Linked DNA regions of Diceros bicornis minor. The protein of the gene in region 1 binds, or shares a complex with, the protein of each later gene. Links are inferred from orthologs where the notes say so. Each region holds a gene or a part of one and is shown on either strand. Other genes may lie near its edges.

Region 1 (16,151 bases):
GTTTGGGAATTAGGGACATGAACTTCGGCAACAGGTGGCCTGGGTCTGAGCCCTCACTCTGCCACTCAGTACTGGGTTTTAGTGAGTGCCTGCTAGGGCCTTCACATATTATTTCATTTAATCCTCAAACTCCACGAAGTATTTTACAGATGAGGACTATCTATATGCCTATATGTGGTTAACAGATATTGATGACTGATTGACTGATGGTCTATATTTGTTCAACAGGTATGTATCTACCGTTACAGGTGCTGGGACACAGCAATAAGCAGAACAGAGAGCCGTTGCTCTCATGGAATTTCTAGGGGGCCTGTCTGGTAGGAGGCTCCTGAGATAAGCAGTCCTACTATTTTACTATCTCAAAATCCTTTGGAATATGCCTGCAACCTGCCATTTGGGAAATCCTTTGCTTCCCAATCTGAATGACCAGCCATCACGGTTGGGGCAGAGATCATTAATTAGAGATCTTCAACCGGAGGGAGCTCCCCTGGGCATGTGGTCCATGCCACTTGACTTTTCCAGGTGAGGATGCTGACGTTTGGAGAAGCGAGGGCACCTCCCCGAGGTCGGGGCAGTCTAGCACAGAATCAGGAAGGCCCAGCGGCTTCTCCTGCTTCCCGCTGCACTTGACAGCGTGAATTTGCGTGGCTGGAGGACCTGGTGCTGCGCTAGAGACAAAAGCGGGCACCAACAGGTGGTGCAGACTGGGGCTGAGAGCGTGGGCTGCAGAACCAGACTGCCTGGCTCAACCCCCAGCTGTATGAACCTGAGCACTTAGTCCTTAGACTGAATAAAGCGCTCAGTGAGAACATCACCAAGGAACACTGCAAATGGAACCTTTAGGTTATAACATTCTATTTTCTGTCAGAGAAGTTAATTATTTGCCAGTGGTGACCAGCACAGAAAGAAACTCACTGATCCAAAAATGTTTCCTCTGAAGTCCATACAGAGGTATCTCCTGCTCATCACACCGGTTATCACCACAAAGCCAGCATCCTCTGATCTGATCATCAGGGCACCTACGGAGAAAATCAGTCAGGTCAAATCTCGCTACACATCCAGTTTCCTTGTTCAAGCACTTCCTGAAAACGCATCTTCGTGAAACCTACCTTGACTGATTGTTAACCGTGGTGATGATTTCACTTAGCCCTCCCCTTGTACTTCCTTATTCAGCCTCATTTCTTCTGGCTGTCCCCCCCTTTCCAACCCCCTACTCCCCCACATTTGCGTCCTGTGTCATCCTCCTGCCTGCACGGAGCACTCTGAACTCACGGCATTCTTTCACCTGTGCTGTACACGTTTCTCTCTCTGCCTGGACTGAATTTACTTTCCCCTTTGCCTGGCTAATACCTCTTAATGTTTGTGGTGGTGGTCACATTCTTCCAAGCCTTCTGCTTTTGTGATTTTTAAGTCTATGCCAAGATGTCTTTCAAAGATCCGGCTTGCATATAGAGTGTGATTCTCCACCCGAGTAGCTGGGTAATAGTCTGCCACGTGTCAGTTAACACCCACTAGGTGTCAAGAACTGCATTAGAATAGATATTACCCTCCCTTGTCTGCTTGTTGAAGTCACCCATCCTCCAGGGCCAGGCTCAGAAGTCACCATATCTATGAAGACTTTCCTGATCTCCCTAATCAGAATTACTTGTTCTTTCTTCTCAGCTTGCTCAGCATAATGCCTACACCTCTATTACACACCACAGTATTTCCACATGCATCTCACTTGGCCTCACAGCCCCCAGGGAGGTAGCCCAGGCAGGGGTTTGAAATGCTCTTCTGTGTGCAGAAGGTTGTAAATGCCCATCATCTGTGCCTCGTGGGTGATTTACAGCTGAACTCTCCTCCCCTACCCCATGTAGGCTCAATACAAAGACCTCGGAGGAGAGTAGCAGGCCGTGCTTAGACACTAGCTGAGTATAGAGCCTGATGTGGACTGAAATTGGATTGATGTGGGACAGAGAGAGTGAGCAGGGGAGCAAGGCCAGAAAGAAGAGGCAAGAAGAGGGCCAAAGAGAAAACTAAATTTGTTTCCAAGTTTGGCTGAGGGTTAGCCTTGAGGGAAGCTTCTGGAAGTGGAGGGGGATATGGGAGGTACAGAGGATATTTAAATTATCACAAAATGGGGTCTGCCTATGTGTCTCAAATTTGTGGCTAATTTTATGGTAAGCCCTGAGAGAAGTGTAAGGAACACGTAAGAAAGAGTTTCTGTGCTGATGAATTTTCAATCTAATTGGGGAAAACACTACACTTAGTAACTGTTTTTGAGTGGTTGCACTCTACGTACATATTTTAAATTGTCGAAGCAACTGTTCTGATGTTAATATAATTAGTATTAATGCTAGTAGTCACAGCATCCTAATTTAAGTCACAAGGAAACTAAGGCAGGATTCAAAGTCAGGTCAGTGACTCTAACATCCTCTTCCTACGACCCTGTAGCCTGCCTCCCACAGAAATCATTACAGGCGTGAGAAGACAAAACTAAGTGCCACAATTCATGCCTGCAGACCACAAGAACCCCAAGTTGTGTGCCCCCAAGTGGGTCAGGGAAGGGGCGCTGAACCAGGACCCAGGGTACTTGGATTCTGGTCCCAATTATGTCCCTCACTGAGTTTGTAGCTGTGGGCAAGTCGTTGCTCAGTTTCCTCAGCTGTGAAGAGAGAACAGTAGAAGCCGTCTTGCGTACTTTACAGGGTTACGATTCGAATCGAACGGGATGAGGGTTGTAAAAGTGACATGAAAGCATGGAGCAAGTGGAGGGCATTATATAGTATGTGCTGACCTGCTGTTTGTGACAAGCCCAGATCTTGGCAGTCATGCTGGCCTGATGCCTGAGTCAGTGTGGGCAGTGTGCTTAGTACACATGCTCCTGGTCACCAGGGCCAGTCCCAATAGAAAACAGCCTGCAGAGAGACAGCGAGCAGCTGCTATGGAGGACGCACACATAAATTAAACCAACATGAGCCAATGTGAAAGTTCAGAAAATAAGAGACGGATTTTCTTCTCTTTGCAGTTTCAGAAGGCAGGTTTGCACAGTCTGCACAGATTCAACGGCAGAAGGAAGGCACAGATCACTGGTTCCTGGAGCCACAACCTGTTGGAGCCAGGCAGGCTCAGCAGACATTTCCTTGAGTGACAGCAGGTGTCTGTGCATGTGAGCCTATAAGAAGCATGGGATTGGGGTCAAGGTGTCCTCTAGGTCATTTACTAACTATGTGACCTTGAGCCAGTTATTTACCTTCTTGAACCTTTGTTTTCTCATGTGTAGTAGAATCATTTACCTCCTTTGGTTGTCTTGAGGATGTAATGAGATAATATTTTTATCCACTATAAAAGCACTTTCTAAATGCTAGAAATGTCTACTGTTGCTATTTCGCCTCAACCTCTGCTATAAAAGTAGAAATTTATCTGCCCCTTTCTATTCTCATAGCCAGTAAATGATAAATAAGATGATAGATATAAAGTGCTTTGAGCTCCCCAAAAGAAAGAGCCCGAGGATAATTCAGCTTCAAGTAAAGAAAGTGCCAGTGGGGAAGGTCGAGGAAGTAAAAACATCAGGATCTAGGAAGTGTATTAACCAGGGGTAATAAGCATCTCCTTTCTGCCGTTTCCACAAGGTGAGAATGACAGGGCGTGGGAGGGCGGCCTCATTCATAGTGGGCAGCTGACATAGACACTGGAGCGGCTCCATGACATCAGCGCTGCCAGTCCCAAGAGAGGTCCTGGAATCTTGTAGGCAGATAATTTCACAAAACCCAAAGATGATTAATCAGGAATTTACTAAAGCACCATAATCAAGTGAACCAGATTTCACTGGAAACTTATAATTAATTAAGGGGGAAAAATCACCCCACATCTTTCCATCAGTGTAAATGCATTGTTTTACATTCCTTGGGGAGAATCTTTCACCAGTCTGTTAAATACTTGTGCCACCCATCTATACGCATCAGTGTTTCCTCTTTCCTTTTTTGGTAACTTTTTATCTTAGTGTATAAATTTTTTTTTGGTAATACACATGATAACTGATTTGAATAGTACAAAAGGTGTTATAAACTAGGAAGTGTCTCCTTCCCACCACGCTGACCTGCGTTCCCCTCCCCATGTTTGTGTTAATTTCCAGAGACACAATGCTTAGCTAGTGTCTATACCTGACAAAACAAAATCACATTTCTGTAAAAAAAAAAAATTCTGAAATCAGTTCAATTCATTTTGCTTCTTCTCAGTCATTTTAATTCAGTCCAACTAGTCCTTAGTGCCTCCTCTGGGCCCGACGCCGGTGGATATTTGAGAGCAAAGTTCTACAAATCAGTACCACTCACAGCCCACACAGCAGGTTGCACTGCTGTGCTCTTTGTCTTGTTCAGGAGGACATGTCTTTGGAGGGTTCCTTTCAGTGAAGGGATTCCATGATTCTAGACAAGTATTATAAGCATTCTTTAGTTGTATGAAGCCCTTTCCATCTATGGGAATCACAATAATTTACCACAATCCACTATCCCGCATTTTAAATCACCTATCATCTTGCAGTGGAAGCAAGAGTGGCCCTCCAGGCGAGGTGCAAAATTATATTTCCTAAAAGTCTGATAATAAGCTGGGAGACAAGAAGGGATGAAAGATCGTGAGGTGTCTGAAGGGCTGTGTCTTCTTGTGCAGTCACAGAGCTTTGCACAATGTCAGACATATTGGAGGTTCTGTTAAATATCGATGGAATAAAAGGAGCAACACTTTGGATGCATCGAATGTATCCAGACTTATTGCTAATGACTCGAACTTGGCTTCCAAGATGTTGACTCTAGAATCCTAGTATATCCCTTTGAGTTCTGGAACCCACTTGGTATTTGGAAATACCTTTTCTCCCTCCTCTCATCTCCTATGACCATCCATTGAGCACCCGGACGGGTGTGAACTCTTGGCTTTGCATGTGCATATATCTTGCCACCAGGTTTAAGGACCTTTGATTCTTAGCAGAATGAATGCCTTACACAGAAAGGCCACAGCAAAATTGCTGATTAATTCAGTACAACAATAAAGAGCAAATCATTATTCCTATAAGAAGTTTTCTTTAATTAAAAGACTATGGTTACTCTTTCATTACTTTAATTTGATCTATATTGAATCAGTTTGCATTTTTCTTATCCTTAGAGTGATTTTTAGATGTTTTCCTAAAATAGAAGACCTTGTCTTTTTCAATATCTCTCCCCCCGCCCACCTCATTATCCCTTATATAGGTGCACACCAAGGGGCCCTCATTTGAATCATAGCTAATTGATTGATTATTGTGGATTGTGATCCAACTTTCCACAAACCTAATCTTGAAAACATTCCAGTTGTCTCATGTTGCCAAGGTGTTCCCAACTAGCTCAATTTGCTACCGAGTGGAACTTTCAGCTCCACAGAGATGAATCACCAACTCATACCAAACTGGGTACTTCTGAAGCCCCCAGTAAACCTGTTGGATGGAAGGATGCATGGATGCATGGACAGATGAGTGCATGGATGATTCATGCACTTGGTCAGGCTCATCAAGACAATATACCTGAACAGTCTGTCTTTAGTACATTTTTCCTGAGAATTTTTATAAGGCTAGAATACTAGAAGCTCAGAGTTGGAAAGAGCCCCTGAGTTCATCTATTCTAACCCTTGGTCTGATACAGGAATCTTCTTTACAACCTCCATTGCTAACCCAGTCCAAAGTTCATGAGCTAAAACGGGATGTCTATTGATCTACCTGGCTTCTTTTCCTCTCAGCCTCTTTGCCTTTCTTTCTGTACATTTTTTGACTCTTTGGACAGGACAAAGAGAAAGTGGCTGCTAGTGTGGGAAGAGGGATTTTTGTTAAGATAGAAATTATTCATGTTGGGAGAAACCAGTAAACACTAATTAGGGATGTGGCAGAATCTTCTCCCAAGGTGTAAAAATACACACACACACACACACACACACACACACACACACATACATAAGTGGATCCTGGGCAAGAAACTGGATTAGTCTTCTGGTCCAGCCCAAGGCAGCCCCAAGTCCATTGTAGCTGGATGGACAGAGGAGCTCCCCCTTCTTCCCAGCCTGAATGAAGCCCCTACTCACTGTAGATGGTCTGCTGGGGTGTGCCATCCACATGGCCGTCCTTGTGGATCTGCAGGTGGTAGCTGTTCCTGGCTGTGGCCGTGTACAGGTGGATCAGGCCAGCCCAGCTGGAGCTGAGCAGCGGGGAGGCGTTGGGATAGGCTCTCACTACAGAGCACAGGATGCAGACTAAGAGCCCAAGGCAGGCCCCCGACATCGCCACTCTCTGAATGGCTGGCACGGAGTTTGAAACCTGACACTGCCTCCTCCACTCAAGGCTGTGCCTTGCTGGCCTTTTCTCCTCTTCTTCCTTGTGGATATCTGGCGTGAGGATCCTAGGCTGGATTCCCTCCTTTTTCCCCTTGGACTTTTAAAGGGTAGCCGTGTGACATCAAACAGGAAAAACTCCACTGTCCACATCCTCTGTGTTGTAATCAGCCCATTTGGAGAGAGTGCAGAGACCTCTGAGGCTCACGGAAGGCACGTCGGTTCCAGACACACACACACCCCTCAATTTCAAGCCAACGCTCCAAAAAGTGAATGATGTGTGGGCAAAAGTTATCTCGGACTCTGGATTGTCTGTTGACCTGTCCCAACTTCCACCAGGAAATGTGAAGGCAGTCAGCGGTTCCGAAAAAAATCCAGCTTCAGCTATGCAGTCAACTGACTTCTATGCAATTAATCTCCTATTGAGTCTACTCATTTTGGTTTTCTCAGTCCTTTTAATTCCAATCGGGGACTATGTATCCAGTGCTCTCTCTGTACACAGCACTAGGTGGGTGTTTTGAAGGATACTGAAATAATACAGGACACCATCAGGCAAATGGCATCCTCCAAGACTGCCTCCTCATAAAGATATGGAAGCTGTGAGCAGAGGCACAAAAACCAACGTTGCCTCCTTGGGAAGATTTCAAAATGGGAGGAAAGAAAACAAGGTCTTGAAGTCACTGCTGCTTTATGAAATGCTGGGATTTGATTTCTCAGTTTCCCTAATTTGGACTGTCTAGGGAGAGTAAACTGCTCTTATTGTCTCTCCAATACTATGGAGACTCATTCAGAGACCTCATGAAGATTGGAAGGCTGCTGACGGAGCACAGGGGATCAGAGACCAGGAAGGTCCCAGGAGCAGAGCAGCAGGCCAGGATGTCCCCACAGTTAGTGTCTACTGGGTGCCTGGCTCCTGGGCCTGGATGCTTTCTTGCAGATGCTGCTCACAGGTATGCCCTCTGGGAAGCTACTTCTGATGTAGGGGGATAGTCCTAGCACATGCAGTCCAACGGGGAGCAAACTACTGGAACACATACTGGAAACGTATATGCACACGGAGACTGCTACTCTACCCATTTCCCATTTGCTGAGTACATACCATGTGCAGGCATCAGGCATCATGGTTGAGAGAAGGGGGAGCAAGATGTGATCATTGCTTCAAGGAGCTCACAAGCTAATGGAGGAGGCAGATTAAAATAAGTAACCGTCATACAAAGCACACTGGGATGTGCGATCACACAGGTGCAGGCAAAAAGAAGTGCCATTTGTTATCCTACATTTGTACGAGTTTTTCTAGTTTATGAAGCATTTTCACATATATTAGCTCATTTGAATCTCACTGCAACTCTGTGAGATAGGCACACCAGGCATTATCAATATTTTAATCTTATACATGAAGAAATGGAGATCTTGGGGTTTGTATGTCCAAAGTCACGCAGCAAATAAATGGGAGAGCTAGGACAAGGTCTTCTGCAATAATAATCACAGTGACAACTAACATTTACTGAGAGCTTACCAGGTGGTTTACTTGTAGTAACTCATTTAATCTTCATAACAGCCCTGTGAGGAGGTGCTGCTGTTTCCTTTACAGAGACGAGGAAACTGGTGTCCACAGTTTAAGTAACGTGCCCACAGGTGTGCAGCCACTATGCAGAAGAGGTCGGGCCTGAAGCTGGGCAGCCCGACTCCAGAGCTCCTAAGCACCGCTGGATGTATAAACCCACACAGCGTGTTAGGGCCGAAGCCGCGAGAGCCAGGAGCCTGGTAAGAGAGTGCAAGGAGCAGCGGGGCCATTGACAAACCAATAGTACTCTTTGGTTTTTCTCTAGTAAAACCAGGATGTGTCTCTAAGATACAGAGTGTTGTCTCCCCCGGTTAGGTAGAAGATTTAGGACATTTAAATGCTTATGTATAAGACAGTCTTCTTTCATAATGGTCACAGTATGGTTCATAAATATAGTACCACATCTTAGCTAACGAAGAAATAGCCAGCTTTCAGAATTGAAATGCAAATCATTCAGGAACATTTGCCAATTGATACCCCTACATTTCCTCTTCTGGTTTCGAGTGGTAGAGGTGGGAAGTACTTGTGAAACAATCAGCACGTATTGAGAAACTTCTCCGAGCAAGAGAGAAGGGAAGAGGGAGTTATAGGAATAAAAAGCAGAACAAACTTATCCTCAAGGGGGTTATAATACAATTGAGCGGAGAAAAACTTGGTTCAATATAAGGCGCTTGTGAGAGGAGCTGAATTACTAGATGTGTAAGAAATGCTAAGGGCGTTCAGAAAAGGGGGAGTTTTCGGTGGGTGGACACTGTGGTTAAGGAGGGCTTGGAGGGAAGAGAGACTCGAGGGAGCCTTGTAGGATGGACAGGCAGGGCGTTTCCCAGCACCCCAAGGCACGCTGGGGCGGGAGTGCAGGTGTCTTGGGAGGAGGGCATGGGCATCGTTCCATTCCTGGGCTGATTGAGGGGGACCGTCCCTGGCCTCTTCAGCTTGTCTTGTTAGGAAAGAGAACTGATGTGCCAGCTTATTCCGCTTCCAAAGACTTCCCTCCAGGAAGAAGCCCTGAATGCCTAGCAGCCGAATCTGAAGCAGAGGACAGCCCAGGGGAGCAGGTTTATTTATGAAGGGAATGGGGGAGGAGAGAAGCATTCCCCACTTGACGAGAGTAAAAGAAGGTACAACACTACTAGAATAATTCTTTCCACCTGAGATATAGGAAATTGAGAGCAGAGACGAGGATTTGCCTGTCAGCATGCAGACAGCAGAATTTCCAGCTCCTGGTTGAACTCCCTACCTGAGGGTTCCAAAGCTGGCTGCCCGTTAGAACCACAGAAACTACCCCAGGACTAATCTTAGACCTACTGAACATGCAGAGGTGAAGCCCAGTTATTTGCACTTTTTTTCAAATCTACCTGGGAGAGTCTAATCCCCCACACTAGATGTTAATGACGCTAAAGTACTTGTCAAGAAACAGACTTTGCATCCCAACCATGCACTGGAATTAGTACACAGAAACCAAGGCCGCTTCTCCATTTGCCACTCCCTTCTGGGATTTCCAGCCTAACTGGGCAGGGTAAGATGTGAACGGTCCTTTCCAGGAAATTTTAGTACTGAACACCAAATCAGTACACTGTGCCTTTGATCCTTGAGCCTGGTGGGTGTGGCATCTCTCAGAAGCATCAGATGGTGAGGGAAGGGAGGGCCCAGGGTAAGTTGGTTTCTGTTCTTTGCATCTAGAGGGCATTCATCTGTCACAGTTCAGGTCGGAGGATCTGGGAGCTAGTGTGACCTTAGGAGCCAAATATGAAACACTGACGGGAGCAGGAAGCCCGGGGAGGAGGCTGGTGGTTTGTGGTTTTCAATATCGCTGGCCTTGGGGCCCTGGTGGCTGCCTGGGAGGTGGCAGGTGGGGACACCTGCTCTTCTCCAGCCTGCCCCACAAGCCACTGCTCCGGCTTCAGGAAAATTTGCCCTGGGGGGCTGCGTAGGGGCCTCTGGTCCAGTCCCTGCATTTACAACCACAGAATCAAGGCTTTAAATATGGGATGGAGGCTATAGGAATCTATATTCCCACAATCCCATTCCTTTCCCTTATCCTCTGACTTCTTTCTCTCACAGTCCTCTCTGGGAAGGTACTAAGGATTATCTCCCCAGATCACATTCTCTCCATGTGAAGACTTTTCAACAATTTTCAAAATATAACGTGTCTTGACTGCTGTGAGGCTGTGATGAAAACATGTTGGAGGCATCAGGGTGAAAGAGCACCGGGAGCAGGGAGGTGATCTTAGGGTGGCTCACGGTTTCCTTTTCTTCTTGAGGCTCTGTGTGAAGGCTCCGTCTGCAGATGGTAGGACCTGGCAGGCCTCTGCTCCCTATTGCGACCTCGTCATGCTTTGTCTCCGTCATTTCCACAACGGTTTCACCGTCATCTGGCTCATCCGGTCCCTAGGTTCAGGCAGGTGGGTGTCTAAGCCATCCAGGACAAATGATTGTTTCCTCTCTTTTCAAAGTTATCTGGGAGGTGCTACAGTCTTCCTGAAAATGCCACTCCCATATCTTATTCTCAGTTAAATATTCTCAGTAATTAAATACTCTCAAACATTTGCTATTCTTATTAAAAAAAAAAACCTTTTATGCTCTGTGTGAAGTGTAAAACAGGTGGCAACGTTTCGTGTTACACATTTGAGAATCGAGGCTTATTTTAAAAAGGGTGAAGTAAATAGCAGTAAAATGCCTAGCCTTCTCATCAACAGTCATTACCGACCTATCCGTGTCAATATTCATAAACTTACCAGATAACTGGAAGTTTGAGCCTGGTGGGTTGCGGCGTCTTACCAGAAGCTGGTAATATGATTATTAATTTATTAATAAATTTATTTCTTAATTATAAATTTATTAATAAATTAAATATTACCATGCAGTATTTAATTTATTTAACTCAGTTAAAATGTGCTTCCTTATATGCAATCAGATTCTTTCTTGTTCTAATATATCCACTCAATCAACATGTAACTATTTAGAGAAAGCCTATTTTTATGGCTAGTACTTTGTAGAAAATCTTTAGAGAAGCCTAAGAATGAAAAAGTACAGTCCTGGTCTTCCAAGTGTTTACAATGTACAGGGCAGAATTTAGTGTGGATTTGCCCAGCCCTTCACAACCTACAATGCACATTCACACCTAGTGTCTCATTTGATGCTCAAAACAGTCCTGGGAGGTGGACTAGGAAGTCTAGACCCGATACCTCCCGTGGGGTCAATCTCCTCCTCTTCCCTTCTTTCCCTCCAAATGAGATGTTTCCATTTCTCCTGCCCAAGATAAACTTTCCAGCTTATTCTCATCATGGTAGCCTTTCCAAAATAAAGGCTCGTGGGAGGCCTCATCTCCAGGGCAGGCCCTTCAACACTCTGGGTGAGGGTTCCTGGAACTCAAGCGGAGTGGAACATCGAGGCCTGGAAAGGAGTTCAAATCCATATAAAATGTCGAGGTGCTTCTCCAAGGTTCACCCCTGCCCCTCCTGCTGATGAACCCCAAGCTTCCAGTGATCTGGTAAGTTTGTAAATATTCACACTGATAGGTCAGTAATGACTGTTGATGAGAAGACTAGGCATCCGAGTGCTATTTACTTCGACCTTTTGAAAATAAGCCTCGATTTTCAAATATGTAACATGAAACTTTGCCACCTATTTTAAACTTAATACAGAGCATAAAAGGTTTTTTTTTAAAATAAGAATAAAAACTGTTTGAGAGTATTTAATTAAAACTATACATATCCGAGTGTTGGTTTGCTTAGAAGTTGAAAGTTTTTCCAGAGAATAAAACGACCACACTGAGTATAAGAATTCTGAAGAACATTAGAAGAGAGATCTGAGGGACAGTGGCCGAAAAGAAGCTGATGCCAGAACGCTGAAGAAAGATGGGCTGGAAATGAGAAGAAGCAAGAAAGCCTCAGGACTTAGTATGACCAAGAGCATCCCTCAAGAGCAAATGCTTTACTGTCAAATGCGAGCTGTCAGGGCCCAGAGCTGAACACATACAATCCAGGCACTTTCTCGCTCCATCACAGCTGAGACACTGCACAATGAGGAGTGCTGGGGACTCGGAGGACACATAAAGCAAAGAACTGCAGCGCAGGGGATTTTTAGGGAAGTGAAACGATTCTGTACGATACTCTAATAGTGGATACATGCCATTATGCGTTTGTCAAAACCCACAGGACTATACAACACAAAGGATGAACCCTAATGTAAACTGTGGACTTTAGTTAATAATCATGTGTCAATATTGGTTCATCAGTTGTAACAAATATGCCATCCTAATGCAAGATGTTGATGATAGGGGAAATTGTGTGCATGGCGGGGAGAGGAGGGTATATGAGAACTCTCTGTGATTTTTGCTTAATTCTTTCGTGAACTTACAACTGCTTTAAAAAATAAAGTCTATTAAAAAACAGGAAAGTAAAACTCAGCAATAGCATTTGCCTCAACAGGTGTCAAAATCTAGTCACCACCTGGAACAATTCATTCCAGGATTAGATAAAGGAAATGTGCTAAACCAGCATATATTTCACTATGTAGAGCTAGTCACTTTTCATTTCTTTAAAATAAGACACAAGCAAATCTCTCACCCTTCCCTGTCACATGTATCCACTTCCCTGTCAAAAATGGAACTCATTTTTTTAAAATCTGTGTGTTCAAGCTTAGACACGTCACTTCCTCTCGGCACCTGTTTCCCCAGCTGCAAACTGGGGAGGTGGGATGTGTGGATGAAATCATCTCTAAGGTTTCTCCCAGGTATTCCCGTCTGGGAGTTTCTCTGGGGGTAGGACACTGTCTTGTCTTCCAGTGCCCCTAAATTGTCTGCTTTATCACCTGCTATGCTAGACCTGGTAACCTGGGAATTACCCGCCTGTGGATGGTGACAGGAAGCGTTCCAATTCTCTGCTGATGGACTTGCTTCTCTCCTCCTGCCTTGCTTAATAATGTCCACACTGGATTAACTCAAGGGAGGCAGATGCCTTTAATCTAGCACTTAATATCATATATATGATTATATATATTTTATAATTTAATATTATAGGTCACTCTAATATCAGTCTCAGCCCAACAGATTTACTCAAAAGTAAATCTAAATGTATAAATAGCACCCTCATTATACATTCCAAAATGCAATACAAATGACTTCTGTCATATCACAGAACCCATGCCACCACTGTTTCGCCTTTGGTGCCGTAATAAGAAGCTTATTTTGCAGGACAGAGGGGTTAAAGCCTTGCAGATGTCTGTGCTGGGCACCTTGGTCAACTGAAGGTCCTGGACGAGCCTGAGAGCAGAGGGCAAAGGAGAAGTCCAAGTGATCGGTCAACAGCTGCAGCCAGGAGTTCCTTTCCTTCCCTCTCAACTCCTCACCGGTCCTTTTCCCCGCTGACACCCCTTCATCCCAGAAGCCCTCTCCTGGCCTCCACCTCTACACCTGTGGGAGAGAAGACGTGTGTCCCAGGTAGGGAGGCCAGGCCTGTGTGCGTGACCTCACAGAAGCTTCACTGTGGGTGATAAGAGCAGGGTTTTGTTCCACTCAGAGCAAAGCCAGAGTTGGGTCAGACTTGGGGTGGGGGGAGCATGGGAGACACAGCTTTTGAATCAAGAATTCTCAGTGTAAGGCTGGTCAATTTGTGTCCCCCTCCCCAAACCCTACACATATTCACACTTTCAGGGGTCTCCTCGACTCCTTTTTCTTTCTCTTCACTCTTTACCCTCCAAGAAAAAAAAAATATTTTTGTTATATTTAAATAAGGCTTCTTAACTTTTCAAAATGCTTTCATAATGGTTATCTCACTTGCCCCTCACAGAAATGGCCCACATGGAGAGGCACTTCCCCCAAGCCATTATTCCTACAAGTCAGTATGAGATCAAGCCTCCCTTGGCTGCCAGAGTTCATGGAGAGAAGTCCTTGCTAAGGTGACTGAGTTCCCCAGCTTTCCCCCCGGTGCACCCCCCCAAGTCTCCTCTTTGTGCCTTTCTGAATCAGAACCTCACCTGGAGCTTTCTGAGCTTGGAAGATTCGTTAATTCTGAATCCATTCCCTTTCCCTATCATTTTCTTCCCCTTCCTCCCCCTACTAATTCCTTCCAACCAAGGCAATCAAAGGGTCTCTTCTTCCCCCCACTTTCCTTTGGGTGTGGGTCATAAAAGCATAGAATCTCATAGTTGGAGGTTGGGAACCTTGGAGATCCTCACTACAGCCTGTTTTTACAGGGAGGGAAATTGAGGCCCAGGGGTGACTTGCCCAAGGTCACATGGCCATGTTAGTGGCAGAGCTTAGTATTAGAATCAGGCTTCTGACCCTCAGCGAGAGTACCTTCCTCCACACCACGCTTACCTTTACTCACTGGGATAAATTCATTGGGAGGGAATCAGGCCCCTGGATCCTGAGCCTGCCTCGTGTCTAGTGGGTGATTCTTTTCATCTGCTTTGCGCAAGGATCTCACGTCTCATTTGTGCCACTTGGAATACAGGGTGCTGTGGAGAAGTGTGTGGTGGCTTTGTGTGCCCTTGGAAAGGGGGTGCTGTGGAGACAGAGGAAATGGCATTCGGGCTTTGGATGAGGATTTCGCAAACAGAGGCATCCTTGCCTCCGTAGTCCTAGCACTGGCCCCGGGGATGGGAAGGTTTGGCTTCCCACAGTTTCCCTTTCCCCCACCTCAGGGACATGAACTTCTCTTCATGCCTACAGCAAAGGTTTTGTCTCTGGCCCAGATCTTACCCTTACCAACTCATATCGCGCAGTGGGAAGAGCAGACCTTGGAAGCAGGAGTCCGCCTTTGGCAAGCTCATCTTCACCTTTATGATTCTCACTCTGTTCTTTGTAGAATAGAGGGATTCAGCTAGAAGATATTTGTACCTTTCTAGGTGAGGGAAGACGGAGCAAGGTCTAGAGCCCTCGGTGACTCTGCCTGCAGGGCCTTGCCAGGCTGCTGTGTTCTCCTGTCATCCTACTCTGCAACTTTGAGCAGAACCAGAGGGAAGACAGTGGTGCTTCTAAAGCTGGAATCTGCCCAGGGAAGGAACAATAGAAACTTTGGACTGCAGAGGAGCCGTGTGTGTGCGTGCATGTGTGTACGCACACACAGTCTGCCTGATCTGATTGGTGCTCAAAGGCTGCCCATGGGAATCCAGCCCACCCTCTCAGGATGCCTGGGGCTTGTCACGCAGCCCACGTCAGGGAGCAGACATCCTGGTTCCCACTCACCTCCTTGGAGCCTGTGACCCAGGCCGGCCCACCACGTTGGGACTCTGCACATCCGGACCCGTGTTATCTCGGGATCCTGGGACTCCTTGGCTCCCCTGCCCTGCCTCCTCCCCTTCCTGTGGACACGTAGCCACCACACACTTCTCGGAGGGTTATTTCTAGCTGAGGGGCCGGTAATTCAGCCCCAGCCTGTCAGGTCAGGCCGTCTGAGTGCTGCAGCTGGGACGGGCCGCCTGACACGCGTGGGTTCAGCAGAGTGCAGGATGTTGGGGCTTCCGGAGGCAGGCATCCCCTCGGCCTGCTGGAGGTCATGGTTGCTGAGATGTGGGGGTGGGGCGGACAGGATGCTCCTGCAGCATGACTGGGAGGAGCTGCGTGTCCATGGGGAGAGGCGAGAATTCAGCCTTCTCACCCCTCCAGCAGTTCCCTCTACTCCCACCCACTGCAGCCCTCTCCCTGGCACAAATCATTTTTCTTTAGTGTAGCTTAGAGTTCACACAGTCCTGAATTGAATTCAGGCCCTGAGTTAGGCAATCTGGGCCAGAAACCGAGCTATGCCCCAGGGTAGGTGTGCCATCCTTGTCAAATGACTTCACCTCTTTGAGCCTCAGTTTCTTCATGCGTAAAAAAGGAGATAATAATTGTACCTGCCTCATTAGATTGTTGGCATAATTTAATAATATGGCATATATAATACTTAATCTCATATTACATGGTCACGTAGCTCTGCTTGGTAGATGGTACATGTTTATTGTTCTTGTTGTTTTTCCAACCCCAACCTCCTACCATAGCCTCAGGCGGTTCCTACCCAGCTCTCACCTACAACCAGAATTCCTCACAGGTGACTTATTGTTATTTCAGAGTTATTTCTGATGCCTGGCACATTTTAGGTGCTTAATAAGTATTTAGTGAATAAAAGAATGAATTTCTCCCTTAGCTGATGCGATAGAAGAATAAAGAACCTGGAATGAAAACCAAAAACATAAAACCTGGGTTCAAATCCCAGCTGCACCCCACAGCTAGTGTTGGGGCCTGACCAAGTAAGCTAGAACACTCATTCTCAACGTC
Region 2 (16,175 bases), on another chromosome or scaffold:
CAGAGAAGCAGCGCGTCGGTGCCAGCCCGGGATCCGAACCCGGGTCGCCAGCAGTGGAGCGCACTCACTTAACCACTAAGCCACGGGGCCGGCCCACAGATGGAGTTTCTTAGGCTGAGAAGTTAAATCACTTGCGGGAGAGTGGCAGACAGAGTGGGAACATGAACCAGAGCTGTCCAAGTCCACAGTCTAGTGCTCCTTCTGGGCCCCTGCAGCTGCCTTCCTCATTAGAGAAAGAGCTGTGGGTTTGATTTGGGCGGACCAATGACGGAGTGAAAATGGAGGAGCTGATGGTCTTGGAACCCAGAGACTCACCCGAATGCCTCCAATGCGATGTTCCCCGTGGAAGTCCTGTCCATCCTTGAGCCAGCGGATGGTGGGCGTGGGGTTGCCTGCAGCTGGGCAGCGGAACTTGACGGTGTTCCCAGCAGGCACTGCATGAAGTTTCTTCTCCATGCGTTGAGGGTGTGTCCAGTACGGTGCTGGAGGGAAGGGGAAGGGAGAACCTAGTGCCCCAGGATGACCACCTGCTTCAATCCTGCTTCCACATAGGTTTCTTCTTCTCAGTGACCAGCTGGGAGGTAGGGAAATGAGTCCCTGAGGACTAATACTGACCTTGCTGGGGGTACACGTGCCCATTCGAGGGGCCCCTGTGGGCCTTGGGGTCCTCATCACCATTGCTGGAGGTCAGGGAGTCTATGTCAGGGACAGAGGGAGGCGTCTGAGGTCCAGGATGGGGAGGGTCTCTCTCCCCAGGCAATCCTTAGCCCCTGCTAGATCCCCTTACCATCCACAACCAAGGTGACGTTGTGCAGGACAAGCATGGAGCCTCGTGCCAGGCAGAGGTAGTGGCCAGCATCCTCCAGTAGGGAGCTGGCGATCTCCAAGCGGCCCCTCCAGCCTCGTACTCGGCCGGCAGGTGCCAGGCGACTGCCCTCCTTGTACCAGTGGCCACTACGCTCAGCCCGCCCACAGCATAACCGTACAGGCTGCCCAAGGGCCACAGTCAGCTCCTGCTCTTGCTGCTCTGGGCTGGGGGCCAGGCAGGGCTCTGTGGACCAAGGGCAGAGGTCAGTGAGCCCCACAGCCTCTCCTGAGGCAGCCCCCTGCATACGGAGAACATGCGGCACACACGGGGCACAAGCACCTCATGACACATGCTGGACACCTGCAGCTCCTCAACACACACACAACCACATGCTACAGACGCTAGGTGCAGAGCAAATGCCACGCCTCTGGTGCACATCACACACAGTGCGGAGCACACATGCTGGACTGGACATGCCACTGCCTGAGACACACACACACAGCACACGCCATAGGTGCCACACACAGGGCACATGCCACACCTCCGGCCACATCATACTCACAGTGTATACACCGCCTATGCTGCCTGGGCCTCCCAAGCCACACGCTCAGTGCACAGCACGCACACACACACACGGCCAAGGGGCTCACCACACCAGCTCTGCAGCCCAGCTCAGGGCCTTGCGCCCTGCAAGGCCAGTCCTCTCTTGTGGACACAGAGACAAGTGGATGCTTGCTGGGAGCCAGACACTAAGTCTCAATGGTTGGGTCCTGCCCTGCTGCCACCTCCCCAGGGCCTGGGCCAGGATCCTCCCAGCTTTGCTCAGCCAGCAGCCCCCTCCAGGTGCCTACCCCTGCCACCCTCTCCCACCTTAGCGGCCATACCCAGCTCCATTTCCTCAGAGGCCTCAAGGGACAAAGCTGGAGCCCTGGGCACCCCAAGCAGGACTCCCAACAGGGTCAACAGCAGCCGCATCTCCTTCCTGCTGCTCCCGGGGACCCAGGCTGGGCTTCCCACCGACTGCCTTCCTGAAACGGAGGGAGAAGAGCTCCTGCGTGTGTGCACTTTCGCTGGCACTACCCCCTATTCCTGCAGATGAGGAAACTGAGACATGAAATGGTGGGCCGACTTGTCCAAGCCCCCTGCCGGCCAGCGGCAGAGCAGAGACGGGAACCAGCTCTGCTGTTGCCGAGCCCAAGGCCTCCCCACAGTAGGTCGTGCAGGGGGGCTGGGCTGGGCTTCCTGCTCTCCTCCTGTCCTGCTGAGACCCTGGCACAAGTTCACAGAAAGGGCAGTTTTGGGATTCTTTCCTTGGAGGGAAGCAGAGAATGGAGACATATCTTCTGCTCGCTTTCAGCACACATAATTTATTTTTTGCTGAATAAATGAATTTATTGCTAAAGAGCCTCCCCCCTGCCAATCTGAAATATAATACAAGGCCAAACTTCAGCATCTGGCTGTTCTCTGATCTGACCCCCACTCCTTCTAGCATTGCTGACATTCCCCTGACCCACTTTGGCTATCTCCAGTGGCACAGTGCTCACTACTAACAAGGCAGGACATCCTATGGCAAGCAGGAAGTTCTTCCTGATTCTAAACCAGAATTGCATCCTGGGGATACCTCTGCTTTACCTCCCCCATATCTCCATCTGAGGCAACACACACCGTGGTAAAGAATGTAGACTCGAGTGTCTGATAGAGCCAAGTTCAAAACCTGACTTTTATCAACTTGCAAGTCCCTGCCCCTCTCTGGGCTGCTGTCCTCAGAACAGCTCTGAGGATAAGAGATATTGAAGGCAGGGGCTGGGCACACAGAATGTTGAACTATTCTCCCCCTCCTCATGACTGTCACCCTGGATCTGCCCACGGCCAGTCACCTCCGGTTCTGGCGCTGAAGTACACACCCACCCCATCCTGTTACCCTCCTCCACATGCCACCAATGATGAAGCCATCCCCCAAAAGGAACACTCAAAACTGAGCCTCAGCTGGGGCAGGGGAGGATAGGTGACCAGTGTAGTCCCGGCGCCCACTGGCTGTTACCTGGGGCTGGCTGTCAGGTGACACTGGTGTCTCTGGATCTACCTTGACCAGGAAGCCCATCACACCCTCCCTTCTCAGCCACTGCCCCCTCCCCTTCCCACCTCCCTCCAAAACACATTCAGCTCTGGCTCTGAGGCAGGGGGCACTTAGCTTGTCCAGGCCAAAGCCATTATCTCCCCTTCAAGTTGCTCCTTCAGTGGGTTTTCCTGGAAGCTGGGGCATCATCTCTGTCTATGCCCTCTCCTCTCCCCTCCCCTCCTTCCAGTCCATTCTGCCTCCTCAATCCCTTTCCAATCCATCCTACCTCCCCTGCCTGTACCCAGGGCAGGCCATGGTCATCTCTAGCTTGGGCCTTTGCAAACATCTCCTTGGGCTCTTCAGCCTCTGGTCTCCAGCAAGGTTTTAAAGATTACAAGTATGCCATGTCACCCCCTCCCCCAGCTTACAAGCCCCTAATGGCTGCCTGTATCCAGCAGGATCCAGTCCACACTGTTTATCATGCATCCTAGGCTCCCTGCCTGCCCTTGTCAATGTCTTTGGTCACACAGTCTGCCCCTTCAGCCTCTTGAATACCGAACCATTGCCTTTCAAAACTGGGCACATCTTCTCTTGCCTATTCCTCTGTGGTCTCCATTTCTCTTCTTCACCTGGCTGGCTGCCACCATCTCTGCACCCACCCCCAGTTTCCATGGCCCCTCCTCTGTAAACCAGCGCCCCCTCCCCCACCCGAGCTCTGCTCTGCAGGGAGGTCGTCTCTCTGGGTCCACAGCTGCGGCTGGGAGTGGGGTGGAGGGGCCCGAGGATTTTATTCCCACCCCCAGGCTGTCCTGACCTCAGAACCTCAGGGCCCTTAGTCGGGTCACAGTCGGCCGATGACCGGCCGACTGCCCTGCACGTGGGGCCGAAGGGCCTCACTCTGGCATCAGGCAGCCTGGATTCTCCTCCAGCCTCCCGCAGTCAGGGGCAGGGGGACCCTGGGCCCATGACTGCACCTCTCGGAGCCTCATCTTCCTCATCTCTACTCGGGGCGCACAGAAGGTCCAGCAGCCGAGGGACCAGCGCGCTCTCCTCCTCCACCCCTACCCGGCCACTCTGGGGGGAGGTGAGAGTCCGCAGTTCCGAGGGGGCGCTGCAGAGACAGACGGCCCGCCCCCGCCCCGGTGGGCAATGAGTAACCAGCTCCGCGGCCAGGGTGCTCTTTGGACGGAGCGGGACAAAAGGCCCTGTGTGCACTGCGGGTTACTGATTTACCGTCCCCCCAACCCCCGCCAAGCGGACGCCCAGGTCCCCAGTGCTGGGAGGGGGCAGCTCCAGGAACCCAGCCGCCGCTCGCCCCCTGGCGGCTGGGAGCGCAGCCTGGGCCGCATGGGGTCCCGGTCACCTCGATCCTCCGCGGCTCAGCTCCCGGCACAGGGTCCTCGCTCACCTGGGTCCTCCGCGGCCCCGCTGCCAGCTCCCGCCAGCCCCGACCCCGCGCCCAGCGGGGACCGCACTCAGCCCGGGCGTCCCTCCGCCCCGGGCCGCAAAGCCAGGAATGCACCCGCGACAGCGGCGTGGCCGGGGGGCCAGCGCCCCGCCCACCTCGGGCCCCGCCCCGCCCGGACCAGCTCTATCCTGACCGCGGCGTGCTGGCGGGTGGCACCGCGTCCCGCCCACCTGAAGACCCGTCCCGGAGCCAGACAGCGGAGAGCGGCAGATCGGGTCAGCCCAGTCCCGGGCCCGGGCCCAGCCTGCCGCACACCCCCTCAGACTCCGCCTCTCCTGCCCCGCCCCGGCCAGGCTCCCAAGTTCTAGTCCATCGCTCTGTCTCCTGCTCTTCACCCCTTGGGGAACGAGACCCAGCAGTCCTAACCCGCCCGCCCCCGCAGACCTCTGCCCAGCCTCGCTGCTCTGCCTTCTGCGCAATCGCGGGACAGTGGCTAGCAGACCCCCTCTGCCCTCATCCTTGTCCGTCCTCTGCACACCTTCCGATTGGTATTTTAAATACAAACCCGACTGTACCAACCACAACCTCCCCTCTAAAACCTTCCAACAGCTTCCTATAAAGATTCTTGACGTGACCTGGCCCTGCCCACATCTCCAGACGAGTCCTTCATTCACTTCTTCCTTGCTCCCACCCTACCTCTGGGCCTTTGCGCGCGTGGTGCCTGCTTCCTGGAATGCTCTTTCTCCTCTAGGTCTGGCTAGCTTCGTTTCGTTCTTAGGTCTCAGCTCGCTTCCTCGGAGAAGCCTTCTGGACTTGCCACCGTCTTCCTTTTCTTTTTTTCGTGAGGAAGATCAGCCCTGAGCTAACATCTGATGCCAATCCTCCTCTCTTTTTTGCTGAGGCAGATTGGCCCTGGGCTAACCTTGTGCCCATCTTCCTCTATTTTATATGGGACGCTGCCATGCGTGGCTTGACAAGCCTATGTGGGGCGCGCCGGGATCAGAAGCTGCGAACCCTGGGCCGCCGCAGCGGAGTGGGCACTTCACCGCTGCGCCACCGGGCTGGCCCCACACGTTCCTCTTTGGTGGCTTCTCTTCGGCGAGCATGGAGAAAGAAGCTGGGAGGGAGGTGGTTCAGATCACACATCGCAGGACTCCGATCTCGCACCATCACAAGTGGCTTTGGGACGTTACTCCATCTCTGTGTCTTCCTCTTCTCGGCAGTGAAACAGGTGTGATGATAGTATCCTCAAGAAGTGGTAGCAGGGGCCAGCCCAGTGGCGTAGTGGTTAAGTTTGCACCCTCCGCTTCCGTGGCCTGGGGTTTGCTGGTTTGGAACCTCGGGCACCGCTCATCAAGCCATGCTGTGGCGGCATCCCACAACCAAAATAGAGGAAGACTGGCACAGATGTTAGCTCAGGAACAATCTTCCTCACACACACACACACACACACACACACACACACACAAAATGGTCGCAAAAAGTAGACATGTTGGTATGTGTAAGCCTGTTGTTCTAAAACACTGCTTGACATATAGCACTTGCTTTGCAGTGTTAGCCGTGATTATTTAGGACCCATTATTTCTTCATGACACGTTCCAGAATTGTAACTAAAGAGTTAATTCTGTAAACAGAAGGCAGGAACTCCCTGCAGACCCCACCATTGTGTCTCAAGTGCCTGGCACACAGTGGGTGGGCCGGAATCGCTCTGTCCCACATGGCTCAGGTCTGCCTCACCTGGAAGCACTTGAGCATCTTGACAGTGGCCAAACAGGAGGCCAGCCAACCATTGACTTCTGCACAACCCTCACCTCAAGTCCCAGCCCTCTACTCCTCTGAAGGTTCCTTGAGGAGAAAGGAAACCCCTCCCCTGGGGTCTCAGGCTCCCCTTCCCACATAGCCCTCTGGCTGGTGGAGACTCTGCCCTGGGGGAAGCAGCTTCCGTTCCCATTGTTATGAGGAGAGGTCTCCGCTTTCTCCACTCTTACTCCCAATGGGATAGAGGATTTTCCTTTGTATGACTAAAAGGCGCATTAAAGTGATTTTCTTTTCCTTCTCAAACTAAAGAATGGCCTCCTCCCAAAGATAAATCAGACAATTGGCTAACTTTTAAGAACAGCTTGTCCTGATTCCCCTCATCCAGGGTCCTTCCTCACTGGAGCACTCGGGCAGGCTGAGGCTCCTGGCACTGGAGATGCGCAGCAAATGGGAGCCTCCTGCCCAGAGGGGCCTCGCCAGGCTTCCTGGACTCCTGGAGAGACTCAGCTCCCTGCCTCTGGTCCCTGCTGGCTCCCTTTAGTGAATGTGGTTGTTGGGGGTGGGTGAGCTGCCAGCAGGAGCTGGACCCTACACAGCTTTCATTCAACTTCCAGGCGCTTTCCCAGTTCGCCTGAGCCAAAGGCAGAGTAGAGGCTTTCATAGCCCAGGTCGTGCAACCTCCCTGCCCCCTGAGACACACAAGACCCTTAGACTGGCAACCTCACCCCTCCACCCCACATCCCCTGTTCAGCCCCCCTCCCACACTCACGGCCTCTCACACTGACCCTCTGCAGAGCCTGACGCTCTGTCACAGAGTCATTCATTCACTCCTTCACTCGTCTACTGTTTATTGAGGGTTCAATATGTGGGATGCACTGTTCTAAATCCTGGGGATAAAGCAGTGATCAGACCCAGCCTCCACCCTTCCAGGAGCTGCTGGCATTGTGGGGAGAGGTAGATAAGTAAGCAGAACCCAGAAGGAGGCATGCCAAGGCTGTCTGGGAGAGGAATCCTAGCCCGTCTGCCCGTCACAGGCTCACTCTTTGGTTAACAATCTTTCACCAGTTGCATTTACAGTCTCTCTCTCAAAGACTTTCACACACACACACACACACACACACACACACACACACCCCTAGCAGGGGTTCAGAAGCCTGCCATTCTAAGATCCTGCCTTTAGCCTGCCTCTGCCTCAGTTTCTCCATCCAGAAAATGGGCACACTCCTGCCCCCTTTTCCCCAGGGGTGTTGGAAGAAGTGAATGAGTTAAGAGGTGGGAATGGGTTTCACCAGAACAGGAAGTAGGGAAGAAGTCCTTGCTTTGACTGAGCTCCCCTGTATACCAGGCATCATACAAGGTCAGGCAGTATATGGGCATTAAGTCCTTTGATCTTCCCGTCAGCCAAATGAGGGTAGGAGTCCTTAGCTCTGTTTTGCAGGTGAGGAAACAGAAGCTCAGGCAAATGGAATGACTTGTCTGAATTCACATAGCAAGTGAACAGAACTGAGATTGAACCCTAATCATTTGGGACAAAGAGAGAGAGCTCAGGGTGACTGTCCACAGAGCTGAGACTGTGGATGCTAACACATCGGCCCACTTTTTGCCCCCATCCTTACCTGTGACCCTGGAAGGTGGAGATTCACCTGAAGGGGAGGGTGTGTGGAGGCTGCGGCTGGGTATTGCTCTCCCTGCCCATTTGCAGTACTGATGGGGCACCTATGAAGCACCAGGCCCGAGGCTCCTGGAATGCCAGGCCGGGCCAGGAGGGGTTCCTGAGGCCATGCCCCGCCCCTCACCTGCCTGGGAGCAGAGTTGGGGGGAGGGGGCCGACGTTGCCTGGTGCCTACTGTATTGCTCTTGGATGGCAGCCGGGCCCTGGAACAGTGCAGCTCTTGTGCGGAAGGGCTGCCCTGAGCCCCTGCCCGGCCCCGCTCCAGCCCCAGCCCGGCCCCAGCCTCTGACCCAGTCCTGCGCTTTCTTGTCTTCTCTCCTTCATTTCTTTCTTTTAAAACAATTTGTATTTTCAGAAAGTTTTGAAATATAGAAAAAGTTACCCAGGGTAATAGCATACAGTGGCTACTCAGAATTGACAGTTGTTATTACTTTACCATTTTTTCCAACCCTTTTCTATCCTGGCTTCTCCCACAGGCTCCGGGGGGGCCTGGCCTGGCTCATTAAAATTGAGGTGACGTTGACAGCAACTGAGTGGTGAAATATTGGGTGTTAGAGGCAGATAGATGTGGGTTTGAATCCTGAAAACTTTGTAACCTTGGACAAGTCACTTAACTTTAAGCTTCAGTTTCATTTTCTATAAAATGGGAATGATGGCTCTTCTGTGAGGACTCAGTGTGGTGCTGCATATAAAGCTTAATGCACACAGCCATGTTCAGTAAAGAGTGGCAGATATTCATATTAACAACGATGGTCCAGGGTGGGACCCACCTGAAGGTATGGGAAACTCACTCCTGTGACCAAGAGGGAAGAATGTGAGGGTCACCCTCTCCAGCCCTCAAATCTCCGCATTCCCCACCCCTTGGGCACATCTATGTCGAATTTCTACTCTGGAGACAACAAAGCCATGAATTGCAGGCTGCCCAGGGCATTGTGGTGGAGGCCGGGAGCCTGGCGTTGATGTCGGCAGCCTGGGAGAGCTCTTGGGGAGGCCCCTCAGAACAAGCCAGATGGAGGGGAATGGGCTAGGAGGGATCTGAGGCTCTCTCTGGGCTAGTCCTGGTGCTACCCAGCATCTCAGCAGCTCCCCTGGTCCCCTTGTTCCCTGGTCCCAGATACTGTGGGCCCATGTCCTGGCTTATTTGGACAGGGAGTGTCTGGGGCTTTCATGGTTTGCCAGACTCAGCTCTCTCTAGACTTGGGCCTACAAACCTCACATCCCCTGGATCTTGGCATGCACATTTGTTTGGAGGAGGGAGGGGGCCAGGACACCTGGGAAGTGGCAGAGGCTGGGCAGGAAGTGCTAGAGGGTTTGTGGTCTGAAGGGAATCAGGAAACAAGCCCCAGAGGGGCCCTCACCCTTCTCTATCTTGCCTAATGCTCACCTGGACCACATAGGATTTTGTTTGGGCACAAATAACAAGGGCTTAAACAAAACAGGGGTTTATTCATCCCTCACTTAGCCCCAAGTCTGGAGGTGGGTGAAAGTGGGTCTGAAGTCAGAGTTGCAGTCTCTTCAATTCTCTAGACTTTTCCCTCATGGTTTCAAGTTGGTGGCTTCAGCTCCTGCCATCACATTTGTGCTCATGCAGGAGGAAGAAAGAAGCCACAAAAGGGTTGAATCTGCACCCAGCAACTTCTGATTTTATTTATCTCCTTGGCCAGACTGTGACACATGGCCAGGAAGCATGTTTATTCTGCTGGACGCATTGCCTCCCCTAACAAAACCAGGGCTTTAATAGAGTAAAAAGAAGGATTGATTGACTGTGGGGCAGGCACCCAACAGTCTCTGCGTCACCAAGCTCATCAGCAGCCCCAATGGCTTCTTTAAATCACAGACCTAACCGAGTCAACCCTCAGCTTTGACTACTCTCTTCTCACCACCCACGGGCATCCCCAGCTCCTCAGAGCGGCACTCAGGGCCCCTGGCCTCTGCTGCTCTCTCCCGGGCCGTCTCCCCTCTCGCCAGAGACACGTGCTCTGTTTCCGGCTGCACTGAGCTCCAGCAGGCCCTCCTGAGCATGCCCAATGTTCACAGCTCTGTGCCTTTGCCCTTGCTGCTTTTGCTGCTGCCAGTGCCTCTCTGGCTCCCTCCAGCCATCCCCCCAGGTGCCTGCCATTCCTTTTTCTGGACTCCTCTCATGCATTCCTTCTTCTCTGAGACCCTCCCTGACCACCATGAACTGGACATCTAAACCCTCTTCCTCTCTCTGGAAACAGCCCCTCAATTTTCTTTGAGGTCCTGGCTCTCTCCTACTCCCAGTCCGCTGGGGTTTTGGGTGGAGCCAACACTTCTCCCTGGCTCCTATGGTGGGCATGTGCCCCTGGACTTGGCTAATGAGAAGATTCCATCCCCCAGGCTATTGTGATTGGGTCAGAGATGAACATGTGACCCAAGCAGGGCCAACGAGAGCCAGTCTGGGCCTTTTATTGGAACTAGTGGGAAACTAACATGCTCAGAGGTTACTGAGGTATGACTATGGAAGCCTAGAACTACTTGAGACAGCCTGCCTGTGAATGAAGCCAACACAGGAAACAAGAGGGCCAGGAGATGCAGCATGCCTGGATCCAGCCATGCCTGAGGCCAAAATTACCTCTTTGAACATTTCATTTATATGAGTGAAATAATTTTTTTCTTAAGCTAATCTGACCTTTTTTTTTTAACTCTATAGATGAAAGGCTCCTAAAAAGTGTCCTCCCCAGTAGAAATTACCCCGTCCTCCTCTGTGTCTCTACTATCCTCTGTCGGCTCCTAGGCCATAGTATTCATCTGTTTACATGTCAGCAAATTCATCATGTCATTGCTCTTATTTGTTTAAAAGCTTTCAATGCCTTCCCATTGCTTTTAGGATAAAAACTTGTATTAGTTATCTGTTACTGCATAACAAACTACCCCAAAACTTAATGGCTTAAAGTAACAAATATTTGGCCAGCTGTTGGCAGGAGACCTCCATTGCCTTTCACATGAGCCTCTGCACAGGGCTGCTTGAGTGTCCTCATGATATGTGGGCTGGTGCCCCTCAGAGCTGGTGAGCCAAGAGGAGACTGACATTGTGCTGTCTTGCACAAGTTCCTCTCAGAAGTCACACTCAATCATTTTCACCTTCTTCTAATTGTCAGGAGTGAGTCACTAATTACAGCCCTCATGGGGGCAGGGAATGGGGTAGGGGGAGAGGAGATGAAACTTGACTTCTTGAAGAGAGGAATATAAAAAATTTTGCAGACATATTTTAGAACCACCACAAGACGAGCTCTTACCCTGGCATTTGTCATCTGAACCCTTTTCTAGGTTTGGGAATATCCCCATTTTATGTGGCAGAGTTCACCTCTCATGACAGAAGCCGAAAATGCTAGCTACTCCTCCAATCTCTCTTCCAGCTAAGGCTCAGTTCTGCGAAATCATGGCATCCATTCCAGAAAACCAAAGATGCCCAGGAGTTGGGCTAGGGAGGCCCAGGAGGAATGTTCCCTGGTGGGGCCATGGTAACAGGACTGAGCTCTTGGGCATGGGGCACTGGGAGCCTGTCCAGTCTCCAGGCTGGCTGGGCTAGTGGTACAGGCAGTAGTGTCCAGTGCTTAGTGTTGGTGGAGACAAAGGTGTCCTTTCTGCACCCGTTCTGTGATGTGATACAGGGGGATGCTGGTCGTGTACCCCGACCCTAGTTCTTTAGTCCTCTTGGTAGTTCCGTGAACTTAAACAAGCTGGAGTTTGTTTCTGTTGCTTTTTGCTGAAAATCTTGATGTGTCCTGAGGAACTTGGCTCCTGCCAGTCTCTCTCCTTACTTGGTGACACACTATCCCTCCTTCCAGGTGAAAAGCATCTTCTTGCCTCAGGGCCTTGGCACATGCTGTTCCCTCTACCTGGAACATCTCCCTTCACCTCTCTCCCCTCACCCACCGGCTAACTTGTATTCATCCTCCAAATCTCAGTTTGAGTCACTTCCTCAGGGGAACTTTCCTGCCCCACTCCCAGCCTTAGGCTCAGTCTTCCTATTATATGCAGCACTTTATCACAATTGTAATGAGTCATTTGTACCCATGAGGTCCTCCAGGACAAAGATTGTCTCTCATTCCAGGGCCCTGACATACAGTAGGGGCTGAGGAAAAATAAATTCCCTTTCCCACATTCTTTAAGGACCTCTGTCTTACCCTAACAACTCTCTGACAGGGACTGCTCAGCCCTTATCAAACTCTCTGACCCTCAAGGAACATTTTCATTCATTTGCAACTCACAGATATCCCAACTCAAATGGGCTTAAGCAAGATAGTGAATTTATTGGGTTATACAATTTTAAAGTCCAAGAGTGGATTTGGCTTCAGGAACAGCTAGATCAAGACCAATTCTCTCTTCTGCTTTCTTCCCTATGGCTCTATTCTGTGGCAGATGCTCCCCAAGAGGTGACAAAGAAGGCTGTCAACAGCTCTGGGCTCAAGATCTTCCCATTTAGCAACTCCTTCCCCATAGTTCTAGCAGAAGCCAGGAAGGTAGAGGTCATCCCCACCCAGACCACATAAGCTGAGGGTGGGGGTCCTCAAGGTAATCCTATTACAGGAAGAAAGGTAAATAGATACCAGGAGGCCAAAACAAGATATGGTTACTATACTTGGTGATTCCGGGAGCCTTTATTGAATAATAAGCCATCCCCGAATGTAGTGATTTAAAACACTTTGTTATTGCTCATGATTCTGTGGATTAGCTGGGGTCAGCTCAGCAGTTCTGCTGGTCTCTCCTGAGGTCACTTATGCTGGTGGCTCCACTGTGCTGGAGGGTCTAAGATGGCCTCCTTCACATGTATGGAGCTAGCTGCTGGCCTTTCTCTCCGCGTGGTCTCTCACCTCCACGTGTTCTGGCCCAGACTTCCTTTCACAAGCGGCAAGAGTGGAAGCTGCAAGGTCTGAGTCCTACCTAGCCTTGGGCATTGCACAATGTCACATCACTGCATTCTCTCATCAAAGCAAGTCTCAAGGCCAGTCCAGATTCAAGGGGTTGGGAAATGGACTCCCCATCTTGATGGCTGGAGTGACAAAGTCACACTGCAAAGGGGCACAGACACAGGGAGGTGAAGACTCATGAGAGGCCATTATTGAAATTATTGAGGCCATTATGATCTACTGCACCCCACAACCCCTCACTAACTCTCCTCCCACCCCAGTGACCTGGTTCCTTTGACCTAGATAACCACTAAAGGCTCAGGTCCTTCAAGAAATCTTTCTGTGAAATCCCACCAATGGTCTCTACTAGCCTATACCCACCTTTATTCATTTATCCATTAATTTACTCAATCCCAAGCAGTTACTAAAACAATCACAGTCCTATGCTGGGCACCAGGGACTCAGTATGATGAATAAGACTCAGTTCCTGCCCTCAAAGAGTTTCTAATCTAAAAGAGGAGACAGGGAATTAAACAGATCATAACACAGAACATTCAGGGCAATGCTGGAGGGGCACAGGGCATCTGGGAGCATGGAAGGGCAGCCACTTCAGCCTCGGGGTCAGCGATCTTCTCAGGATGAGTGCAGGGCTCCAGGTTGATAAGGGGAGGTGGAGCATGTATTAGGCAGAACTTTTGGTTGTAAGTGATAGAAACCCAACTTAAACTGACTTAAGGAAAAAGGGAATTTGTTAACTCAAAACTAAAAAGTCCTGAGAGTATTAGCTTCAGCATGGTTGGATCCAGGTGCTCATCAGAAATCAGTCTTTTCTCATCTCTCAGCTCGGTTTTCCTCTGTGTTGCCTTAATTCTCAGGCAGATTGTCCCTATGTTTTAGCAAAGTTAGCTACTAACAGCTCCAGACTTATGATTCTGATTGCCCAGGCCTGGGTCACAGGTTCACCCCTGGAGCCAGGGGGAGGGGTCAGTCTCTCAGAACCACAGGGTCTAAAAATGGAGCAGAGATGTTACCCAAGGGAAAAGAGTAAAAGAAAGGCTGATGAACAGGCCAGACATCAGGTGTGCTCCCAGACAGGTGACTAAAGCAGCCCTCAAACAGAAGTGTTCTCCTGAAGGGGGAGCCCACCTTTGGAAGTAGAGATAGCAGGTGTGCTAAGACTTGGGAGCATGTGAGTCGAATCTCTCCTGGCTACTTCTTGGTTGCGTAAGCTCTGCGCGACTTTGTCTCTGAGTTTCTCCTGTGAACTGAGCCTTTTCAAGTTGTCTTGAGGGCTAAATGAAATATCAAATATAGGGCTCAGGAAGTCATCCTATTCATTCGGGCATCAAATCAAACAGTAGGGTCCCAGAGCTGGTTTATTTTGCCTAGCAAAAAAGGAGCGTCCTCCACCTAGTGGCTAGAGGGGTTATTGCACTAGAGTTGACCCACTTAGAGAACCATAAGGTTTCTTGCGCATTTTGAAGCTCCTGGACAGATGCAGCAGCATTGGTGGAGGACAGCGAGCCTGGGAGTGCCAGAGCAGGGACGAGGCTGCTTTCTCTGCAATGTGGGCTTGGCACAGGGTAGAATAGGTGTGGCTGTTAGATAGCCAGATGGTCAGAGGGAGAAGTTTTCCTACTGTATTTGACACTAGTGACTGCCAATCAGAAGGTCTGGTTAGGGGTGCGCAGTTCATCTGGCAGGGGCTGCCGTGAGAGAAGGGCTTTCTTCTCAACCTTCTTTGGGAAGAACTCCTAACTGCCCATCACCACCTCTTCAGGACTCTGGCTGGGAACAGTGATTTTTTCCAACTTCTACTTCACAGAAAATATCAAGGCCTCAGGTCACATGAAGCTGGTGACAGGGCTCAGACCAACGCCCAGGGACCCTGAATTCCAGGCCAGTGTTCCCCATGACATGCCTCACAGCTGCTATATGGATACATACACAGCTCTGTGTCTGCATTGAGGGGCTGTTACATCCCAACACTTGCTTTGCATCCAGCCCTGCGCTAAGAGCTTTACTGCATGATTCCATTTCGTCTTCTCCTCAGGTGTCATTGGCTGCAGACAATAAGGTTCCCTAGCAGAGGTTCCCTAGCAGTGGAAGGTGACTTCTTGCTGGAGCCCAGGGAAGAACCACCTTGGCCAGCATGTTGCCTCCCCTCTTCCCCCTCCATCAGATTGATTTATGTTTCTAGCATTTTATAACTCACTGAGTGTTAATACAGGGGGCTGTGCCAGAATCCTCTGCTGTGGACTCACCTCCCCAGGGAGACCCAGAGCTTACTTCAGGCTGATAACAGAAACAACAGCAGTCACCATTTACATAGCATCTCTCACGTATCAGGCACTGTAATTGTGTCATATGTTATCTATTCTTTTAATTCCCAAAATAACCCTGTAAGGTAGGTACTAATGCTTCACCCTGAGGCACAGGTCAACTAACTAAGATCACACAGCCTAGCAATGGCAGAGCTGGGATCTGCCCTGGCTGCCCAATTCAGAGCCTGAGTTCTACACCAGACTGCCTCTCCAGGGCTGACGCCTCTCCCTCCATGAGACCTTCCTTGGCCACCAGAGCCACAGGCAGGCGCTCCCCCTGGTGTTTACCTGCTGGATTGTGTATTATGGGTCCTGGGCACTGACATCCGAGACCATTCCAGGCTAGAGAAATTCAAACCTGATCTCAGGGGTGCTCACAGAAAGAGGGGCCCTGATATGAAGTCAGGACCCTTGGGTTCAAATTCCTGAGTGCCATCAGAATGGCCAAAATTAGAAAGACTGACAATACCAAGTGCTGACAAGGATGTGGAGCAACTGGAACTCTCTTACATTGCAGGTGAGAATGTAGTTGGTAGAACCACTTTGGAAAACCATTATGGTAGTATCTAGACAAGCTAAGCATACACCTACCCTATGATGTGGCAATTCCACTCCTGGGTATATGTGTGGACATGCATGCCAAATGACACATAAAAAATTTTTCACAACAGATTTATTTATAATAGTTCAAAACTAGAAACAACCCAATTGTCCATCAATAGTAGAATATAACGTACTACTACATAGCAGGAAAAAATTGAACTTCTGATACACACGATAACATGGATGAATCTCACAGACATAATATTGAGCACAAGAGAATGTATGTTTGAGTCCATTTTTATAAAATTCAAGAGCAAGCAAAACTAATCTATGGTGATAGAGGTCAAAATAGTGTTTACTTCTCAGGGATACTGACTAGGAAGTGGAACAAGGGAACCTTCTGGGGAGCTGACAATGTTCTGTATCTTGATCTGGAGACTGACTGTCCAGATGTGTAGACATGTGAGGATTCATCAAACTGAACTCTCAAAATTTGCACATATTACTAAATGTATGTTGTATCTCAAAAAGTTAGGGAAAAATAAAGAAATGGTTAAATAAAGAATTTCTGGGTATGGTTGACAACAGTTATTTTTGCCTACCCACATCCATTCTTCTCCCTTAGTCTGGAAGGAGCCCACACTTCCTTCTTTTAGGGACATCTCTCTCTCTCTCTCTCTCTCTGTTTTAGGTGGAGCTCATTCCTTCCCAGGCCCCAAACCAGAGTACCAT

Evidence for each region.
Region 2: the proteins of FGF23 (region 1) and FGFR4 are in contact, whole or in part, in a cryo-EM structure (PDB 7YSW), measured with the Homo sapiens proteins. The link is inferred for Diceros bicornis minor from reciprocal best matches to the Homo sapiens genes FGF23 and FGFR4. Residues at the interface, in NP_065689.1 of Homo sapiens: Leu32, Gly33, Ser35, Trp36, Gly37, Tyr43, Ala45, Thr46, Ala47, Arg48, Asn49, Ser50, Ile75, Arg76, Ser77, Glu78, Asp79, Ala80, Gly81, Val83, Val84, Tyr93, His117, Gln118, Thr119, Asn122, Gly123, Tyr124, Asp125, Leu158; in NP_001341913.1 of Homo sapiens: Glu156, Lys157, Lys158, Leu159, His160, Ala161, Val162, Pro163, Asn166, Asp240, Leu242, Glu243, Arg244, Ser245, Pro246, Lys272, Val273, Tyr274, Ser275, Asp276, Ala277, Gln278, Pro279, His280, Ala308, Asp309, Ile310, Ser312, Gly336, Asn337.

The regions. Positions count from the first base shown.
Region 1 is NC_080756.1:57,132,378-57,148,528, reverse strand, and holds the start of FGF23 (fibroblast growth factor 23), read right to left. Parts: upstream 6,281-16,151; coding exon 6,085-6,280; intron 1,020-6,084; coding exon 916-1,019; intron 1-915. UniProt on the Homo sapiens protein: Regulator of phosphate homeostasis. Inhibits renal tubular phosphate transport by reducing SLC34A1 levels. Up-regulates EGR1 expression in the presence of KL. Acts directly on the parathyroid to decrease PTH secretion. Regulator of vitamin-D metabolism.
Region 2 is NC_080740.1:90,304,051-90,320,225, reverse strand, and holds the start of FGFR4 (fibroblast growth factor receptor 4), read right to left. Parts: upstream 7,740-16,175; 5' UTR 7,650-7,739; intron 5,027-7,649; exon of another isoform or gene 4,972-5,026; intron 1,837-4,971; 5' UTR 1,784-1,836; coding exon 1,693-1,783; intron 1,052-1,692; coding exon 788-1,051; intron 697-787; coding exon 616-696; intron 483-615; coding exon 316-482; intron 1-315. UniProt on the Homo sapiens protein: Tyrosine-protein kinase that acts as a cell-surface receptor for fibroblast growth factors and plays a role in the regulation of cell proliferation, differentiation and migration, and in regulation of lipid metabolism, bile acid biosynthesis, glucose uptake, vitamin D metabolism and phosphate homeostasis.